Linked DNA regions of Coturnix japonica. The protein of the gene in region 2 interacts with the protein of the main gene of each other region in a pairwise test. Links are inferred from orthologs where the notes say so. Each region holds a gene or a part of one and is shown on either strand. Other genes may lie near its edges.

What was found.
Region 1: the proteins of PPP1R12A (region 2) and ATXN10 interact in binary tests that used the Homo sapiens proteins (3 or more experiments, as listed by UniProt). The link is inferred for Coturnix japonica from reciprocal best matches to the Homo sapiens genes PPP1R12A and ATXN10.

What each region holds. Positions count from the first base shown.
Region 1 is NC_029516.1:64,914,656-64,919,178, forward strand, and holds the start of ATXN10 (ataxin-10), read left to right. Parts: upstream 1-1,519; 5' UTR 1,520-1,534; coding exon 1,535-2,019; intron 2,020-4,523. UniProt on the Homo sapiens protein: May play a role in the regulation of cytokinesis. May play a role in signaling by stimulating protein glycosylation. Induces neuritogenesis by activating the Ras-MAP kinase pathway and is necessary for the survival of cerebellar neurons.
Region 2 is NC_029516.1:35,956,321-35,960,135, forward strand, and holds part of PPP1R12A (protein phosphatase 1 regulatory subunit 12A), read right to left. Parts: intron 3,164-3,815; coding exon 3,047-3,163; intron 2,686-3,046; coding exon 2,479-2,685; intron 1,615-2,478; coding exon 1,520-1,614; intron 1-1,519. UniProt on the Homo sapiens protein: Key regulator of protein phosphatase 1C (PPP1C). Mediates binding to myosin. As part of the PPP1C complex, involved in dephosphorylation of PLK1. Capable of inhibiting HIF1AN-dependent suppression of HIF1A activity.

The DNA.
Region 1 (4,523 bases), about 29 Mb from region 2:
ATATGTCTAGGGATGGTGATTCAACCACCTCCTGGGCAGCCCATTCCAGCATCTGACCACTCTTTCAGCGAGTTTTTCTATCATCCAAATGGAATCTACCCTGGTGCAAATTAAGGCCATTCCCTTTAGTCCTATCACTAGTTACACAGGAGAGGAGGCCACCCCCCCTTTTTCTCAGGTAGTTGTAGAGAGCAGTAAGGTCTCCCCTGAGTTTCCTCCAGACTAAACAATCTCAGCTCCCTCAGCCATTCCTCATAAGGCTTGTGCTCCAGACCCCTCACCAGCTTTGTTGCCTTTCTCTGGACACACTCCAGGGCCTTGATGTCTTTCTTGTAGTGAGGGGCCCAAATCTGAACACAGTACATAAGATGCAGCCATACCAGAGCTGAGTAGTGGGATGCTTACCTCCCTGCTCCTGCTGGCTGCACTATTTCTGATGCAAGCTAGAATTTTGTTGGCCTTCTTGGCCATCTGGGCACACTGCTGGCTCATGTTCAGCCAAGCATCAACCAATACCCCCAGGTCCATTTCTTCCACACAGTCTTCCAGCCACCCTGCCCCAAGCCTGTAGAGTTGCCTGGGCTTGCTGTAGCCAAAGTGCAGGACCCAGCACTGGATCTTGTTGAATGTATGGTAACTCCTGAGTCACAGCCTGAACCACTGATTGAGCAGCTGGTCAACCCTGGGAGCACAGGTGAAGGCAATTTAGCTGTGAGACCAGTAGAGATGGAGCCTGGCTCCATTTCTCTTAGACCTCATTTAAGGGCTGACTGCCATTGTGGAAGGATCTCTGGTTGGAGATCTCTGTTTTGTGGAATTTCCCCTTGCAAGCCCTGATCTTTGGAGACAGGTGAGTGCTTTTCCTTTGAAACCCCGTACTATTTGTGCTAGTCCCTTTGCTACTACATTCCTGTATTGTCCTTCCACCATGCTGACCTTTCTGATTGTGACATTCAACTTCATCCCACTGGCACCAGCAGATCAATGCTTCCTTCCAACTTGGTGACATTTGTAAACTTGCTGAGAGTTCTCAATGCCCTCACCCAGGCCATCAATGAAGATACTGATCAATTCTGTGATTCTGTGATATTGAATGGGAGAGGCTCCAACACTGACCCATGGGGAATACCGCTCATTACCTGCTACCAACTCAAACTCCATTCACCACTGGATGTGAATGGTGAGAATTAAATAACCCATACTTTTTTTGTATCATGCTTTCTTTCTGAAGTATAATTTCTGAATTCCTTGTCACATCTCTGGTGAATTAAGTTTGGTTTCTGTCTAGCGAGGCCTTTTGTAGTATGTGGCTACAAATAGTTATTCACTGAAAGTTCCAATTCTTATCCTGTAACAATAATAATAACTGTAAATATGTTAACCTTTTCTATATGTATTTAAAACATACAGTATTACCTACTTGGAGGCAAGCATTTGTGAAAGTATATGGGAAGTGAGGGAGGAAAACACTTGGGAAATGTTTGTGTTGCATGTGGCAAGCATTTACCTTCCAGGCTGTGCAGAGAGCCACAGGATGGTCCTGAGGGCCCCTGTGGGCCGACGAATAAAAGCTGACCGGGAAGACATACCTACAGATAACTTGTTAAGGGTATTTTTGAGGAAAAGGCAATGTTTTACAGAGCACAGCCCAGAGTGCCCACTTTGCCCCGTGGGCCAGCCCAGTAGACATCCTGCCACGGGCAGAAAACGCAAAAAGCAGCGATCTAAGGGCAAAAAACACTCTCCCTTCAGCAGCAGCACGGGACCTGGGCAGCTCCAGGGCGCTGCGGAACGCACCGCACACCCACCCTCTCCCTCGGCCCGCTGCTGGGGCCGGGCCGCCGCCATTTCCGCGCGGCGGGGGCGGAGCTGGGCCGTGCCGGGATACGCGATGGCGGCGAAAGCCGGAGCGTTGCCTGAGGTGGCGGCGCGACTGAAGAGACTCATGGCTGCCGAACCGTCGGCCCGTCTGGAGAGCGTGCGGGCCATGACGGGCCTGTTCCGGGAGGCGCAGCCCAGGTAGCGTGGAGGAGGGCCCGCCTGCGGCCACGTGTGCCGGGGGAGGGAGCTCCGGCCGTGCCGCCGGGCCTGGGTGGTCCTTGTGACTGCGAGCAATGCTTGTTGACTGCCGCGGGTTCGGTGTGGTGTTCGAGGTGCTCGCGTAGCTAAAGAGCCCTTGGGAAGCGACCACCGGTGGCTGAGTGTCGCTTATTCCTGTTGTTATGGCTCTGCCTTCCCGAGGGCGCCGTGGTTTACCTGGGAGGGCCCGGGAGTCACTTGTGGGGCGGGGGCCAGTGCGGTGTCCTCCTACGGGTGCTATGGGTACGGGGCAGGTGGCTGCAGTTTCCCTGCTAGGTAAGAAGTGAGTTCATGTGAGCAGTGTACACGCGTGGCACTTTCATGTTGTGCTGCTGCAGTCCAAGCAAAGCTCTGGGGGTTTGAGGTGGTTGGTCTGTGCCGGGCAGCAGAACAAGCTTGAGCGAGAGGAAGGGGGGAATTACCATAGGTAACTTAAAGACATGAAAAACAGAACGTATAGTTAATGGGAAAAAAAGCAAACGTGGTGTGTCCCTGTTCTGTAAGGTCAGGGATGGATGTCTGCAGCACCATGTGATGCTGCTGGCTACAGCAAAGTGCTCTGGATGTGCAGAGGTTCAGCTGTGACTGTGGTGGTTTTAGCTTTCCCTGGAAGGTAGGAGTCAGTGGAGGCTTATGGGAAGCTTGTGCCCTGCTCTTGTAACAGTAGCTGAAGATTATAACTTCTAGGAAGTTTGATCTTTGTGTAAAAGTGTATTATCTTTCTGGCTTTCTTTTTCTCTTGGGAGGCCAAAGGCCCTGTGCAAATGTTAGGCTTACACACTGATGCTTTCTCTGCTTCTTGCCTCCATCCCTGACATCTCTGAAACCAGCATTGACAGGGGGGTAGGTAACAGTAACCAGTAACAGTAACCAGTGTTCTTTGTATACATATAGTGAAGTGAAAGAGTGTAATCCTTCTTCTGAGGTGAGGAAGATGTAGCGTGAGTTTACAGCCCGTAGTACATGACAGAATGAATATGAGAACAACTTACAGAGCTGGCCAGCCATGGAAGATTAATGTACTTGGTGATATTGAACCAGAAGAAATAATCCAGTGAACACTTGATATTTAACTTGTGACACTGAGTGATAATTATTTTGTCATTATGTGATTGGTAAATCTGTAGTGTTCATGGTAACAAAAAAAATAAATGTAAAAAGGGAATGGCACTGTTTTGTAATTTAGAAGCAAATAAGGTTAGCAAAATAGGGGTAAAATAATTCAGTTATGTGGAATTAACTCAAGTTTCCCGCATGTTTCAATTGAGATTTTAAGTGCCTTTGAACAAATGAATTGTTTCTAATTTACACATAGAGATATAGAATGGCCGAGTTGAAAAAGACCACAATGATCATGAAGTTTCAACCCTCTGCTATGTCCAGGGACATCAACCACCAGACGAGGCTGCCCAGAGCCACATCCAGCCTGGCCTTGAATGCCTCCAGGGATGGGGCATCCACAGCCTCCTTGGGCAACCTGTTCCAGTGCGCCACCATGATTTTTGAAGGTCTGGTGTCTTGAACACAGTTAGATTAGTATTCTTAAACCTGTGTTCAATTGGATATCATTGTATAATTCATTTTTTTTAACAATGAATCTCTAAGGTCATAGAGTGGCAGTAATCTTTCTTTCAGCATGGATAAGTGAGTTCTAAAATGATGTTTTGACTTAAGAAGAAATTGTTTATGTCTGAAGGCTGGGCTGCTGTACCATTTGCTTCTGCTTTCAGTGTTCCTGCAGCATGTTTTTTCTTGATTCTGAAAACAAGTGGCAGCAGCAAACTGTGAAGGTCTGTCTGAAAGAATAAAATGCAGGAAGAAGTTTCTGGGATACTGATAGAGTGAGTGAATGAATTCTGGATGAATTTCAAGGCATGTTTAACGCGAAAGATATCTTTTCAGAGAAAAGCTACTAAAGGGACTTGTTGCGAACTTCACAGAATAATACTTAAAGATGAGGAAAAGGTTATGGAAGGGAAATATTTTCCTTTTCAAAAACGTTTTTAAAATATTTGTAGCCACTGTTCATATCTTCATGAAAATCTTTGACAAGAAAGATCTGGAAAGAGGACCACTTAAAACAAGCAAAAAACAATGGTGGTAAGGATTGCTACCTTTAGTTACCTGAAATCAATCTTAACTCATTCTTTAATGCTAGCTAAACATTTCCTGCTCTCCGCACTAGTTTGAAAATTGAGTTTTATGTTCAGAGAGATGATTTTAATTAAAATGTATTTGTAGCATGCACTCAAATTGCAACAATCTGTAAAAGTTTAAGTGCAAGAATCATATTTAAATTTTCTGTAATTATTATCCGCTTTACTGAACAATCTTTAAATCATGACTTCTTTGTTCAGGAGAACTTTTGTGTGTTCACATAAGCTTTTCATTTCTGTTGTAGGAAGAGATTTGACTTCTACATAGAAACATCTGGCTTGATTTCT
Region 2 (3,815 bases):
ATAAGCGTGCTTTATAACTCGTACATCAAGGAATAAAGTTAGTTCTTAGGTCAACTGTTTAGTCAACACCAAGTCTAATGACACGGATGATCTCTTGTCAAGCATATCAGGAATAACATGACACTGCTGGTAACCACTTTTGGAACTTGGTCTGTGAATAAGTCATGATGGTTGAGACTGGTATGTCAAAGAGAGAAATATACCTCAACAGTGCACCAAACCTTAATCCCTTTGTGACAAGCAATAACAATTTATAAGAAATATGACTGCAATTAAATATTTATCCCAAACTTAAGGTATCATTTAGCCAAGACATTTTTGGATAGTGAGAGTATTTGAGAAAACCTCAAAAGAATAAAACATGCAGTAAGAACAATCTGTTGTTATCAAATCACAACTGAACAATAAATTCAACTGCAATTAAGAATATAGTACTCTCAGAGACTGACTGTAGAAACCCCAAACTGCAGTGTTAAAAGAAATACAGATTTGAAAAAATGGTCAACTAACATAAGAGATGAGAGTACAGTAAGTTGAACTAAAGGGAGCACGAGATCTGGAATACCTGCTTCAGAACAGCTACTGTCACTCAGAGACTGAACTTAGCCAACAGTATTCCACAAGCATAAGAAGAAACAGAATGCATCTTGTGCTTACTCTTAACTGAGCACTCCAAAAACAGGTTTGCCAGCTTTAGATACAACGATTATAGTAGCACATTTTGATCAATGGGAGCTACTTTCATTTTTAAGTTATTTAAAATTGGGCTATCTAAATACAATCTGACAGAGACGAGGTGTTAAGGAAATTTCTCCACTTTATACTATGCATTAAAACTCAAGAAAGTAGCCAAGTAGAATCTTAATAAAGGAGAGAACTGAAAACTGGGAAGATTCTGACATGGTAAGTCATGGAAGTTCTCTGAATCCTAGTAAGTGACAAGTGTATGGCACCTAAACTTTTTATTCCCTTCACATCGAAAGCTGAAGAAAAAAATATTAGTAAAGGATTAAGTATCTCCAAAAGATGATGAAAGACCAACAGTCAAACAAGAAAGACAGAAGAGGAAGTTACCAAAGAACTGCTAGAATTTCTGTAAACTGCTGGTGCTGAAAGATATGGTTTTAACCAGGTACTGCAGGAAAGAGGTTGGTTTCTTTTTTTCAGCAAAAGTAAAAATGGAATTCAATGTCAGCACTCTGGCTCAAGACAAAGCAGTAAAATTCTTTCTGTATTCTTCATTAGCTGGAAGTTTACAACTGGCTATTTTGCATTTAATTTTATTTTCATCCCCAAGATGACAACACTCAATGCCCAGAACTCCTGCCACAAAATAACGAGGATTTTAAAAGGGGTTATCAAGACTTACATGACAAAAACCCTTCCAGAATTTGATTACAGGTCAGCATAATCTATGAAACAGGCTAATGTTATAAACTAGTAGCATCTTCATATCTGTATGTTTTTCAGCTACTCTAAAATCACATAATTTAATATTAAACAGTAACTTCAGAGTCACCTGTTTTCTTTTTCATCAATGTCAGAGGTACTGGCCAGTCGTCTTGGTATTGTGGGTGCAACATAGGCAAGTCTAGTTCCTTTTCCATCTTTCTCCTGAAAGACACAGATTTTTAGTAAGTGTTACTATTATTGATTACACTGCCTATTAGCTGGAAGATCACTGTTATAGCAACTACATTTGTATTTACCATGATCCAATTATACAAGTAAGTTTTAAGTTTCAGTTAAATATCTTAAGGATTAAAACAGGAGAAGGGAACTGTTTGTGATTTCATGCTAGTAATATAAATGGCTTGATTTCTCATTTAGAGCTATATTACTGGAAATCAGGAGATTACTTACTGAAAGAAACTAATTTAGTATTTTTGTATACCATAGATTAGTATTATTACTGAAAACAGATTTAAACATTTGCACTTGAAATAGAATATATGTTGTTCAGATACAGCCAGGTTAGGCTGCGGTTGGACTTGATGATCTCCAAGGTCTTTTCCAACCTGGGTAATTCTATGATGATGATGATGAAATTAGTCCTTCACTACAGCATATTTGTGTTTAAATATGCAATTAATATTTTATAAATTTAAAAAAAAATGACCACAGAATTCAGTAAGAGATTTCTTTTTCAGGAAGTTTTTCAACATTGTTCTCCAAGTGATGCCAAAACTGCCAACCCTCAGGTCCCCATAATTGCAAAAAAACACTACTACTGACAGTGCAAGTCCCTAAAAGATGTAAGTCCTACACCTATGTACCAAGTCAAAAGACAGTAAATGTGCATACTGTACTTTTAAAGAGATTACACAACAGCTCTATAATTTAACAGCTTGGAATTTTGCTAAAGTATAAACATGCAGTAAACTCCAAAGAGAATGTCTTACTTTTAGAATACATCATAAGCATCTGTGGTAAGTATATGAGCTCCTCAAAATACTGTTTCACACTGAAAACAATTACCTTTTCTTTGTTGTCCAATGAAGAGGAAAGTCTGGGACTTGAAGCAGAACGTATAACACCTGCAGAGTCCTTTTCTTTCTGAGCTTCTTTAGAAGCAGTAATCTCTGCAAGGGCACCGTAACTACCAGTTTTTCGAAGACCTAACCTCCATGAAGCAGGAGATTCATCTTTCCTCTCTTCTTCTTTGGGAGAAACCTTGGTTGGAAACTATAAAACAAAGTAGCATATTAAAGGCTATTCATTTGCACTATCTGTAGTAATTCATGTTCCTTGCAGAGATTTGAGGACACAACCACATTTAATAATCACAGAAGTACTGAATACATGGGGAAGTTGCAGTGAGAGACAACCTAGGCAATCCTCTCTCTAATTAGTTAATGAGATAAGAAACATAAAACTGGTCAAGGAATACTACTCCTCTAAGAGTTAGCTTGGAAAAATTCACACTTTGTAATACACACAGTGATCATGAGATACAAAGTTAAAACCATGCAAATCTGCTATCAACATTTGATTAAATATGTTATTTTGCAACCTGTACACAAGCCTGTGCACACCAGAACCTCACCATTGCCTTTTCACCCTTATTGGGCACAAGAACAATGCCAGTTTTGCGCAAGCCCTGCCTCCATGATGCAGGATCTACTGACTCCACGACAGGCATGATAGGAGGAATGAAATCATACTAAAGCCAATTGAGACAAGACAAAGATGAAAGAAAGGAAAAGAGAAACAAAAGGTAGTTCCAAAAGCACACAGTTTGTTCCTATGTTTATGGCACATAGCTCTTCATTACACCATAAAATACCAAAAGTAATAAGACAAAACTATAGTAACAGATTCTTATTAAAAACAACACCCTCTGTTGAGCTAATTCAGCAACAGAATTACAGTTTGTAGAAGAGAGGATACTATACATTACAAGGTCCGTGCCTAAATCATGGTACACTGGAGAATATTTCAAGATTCACAGTAACATACCCATTACCTTTCTCACTGCCTTTCATATTCCATTCATATCCCTTAAACTAGTCCTATGCTAACTTAGCTATCAAATCCCATACCTTTATTTGCACACTTGCCTAAGTTTAGTGTCCTCAGACAGAATGCAGCATTAGTAAATGCAATAGGGATAGAAGAAAACACAAATTTAAGTTTATTACACTGCATCTGCAGCACTTGTGAGCAACACGGTATGGCCATGTATGATGTAAAATCAGAAGAGTTGTAGAGATGTTGTAAGCCTGAAAATGCAGGTGCAAAATTAAGTTCAAGGCAACTTGTACCTGTACAAGTTTTGCCTTTCTTCATTAAAGACAGCTTAAGTCATTTTCATT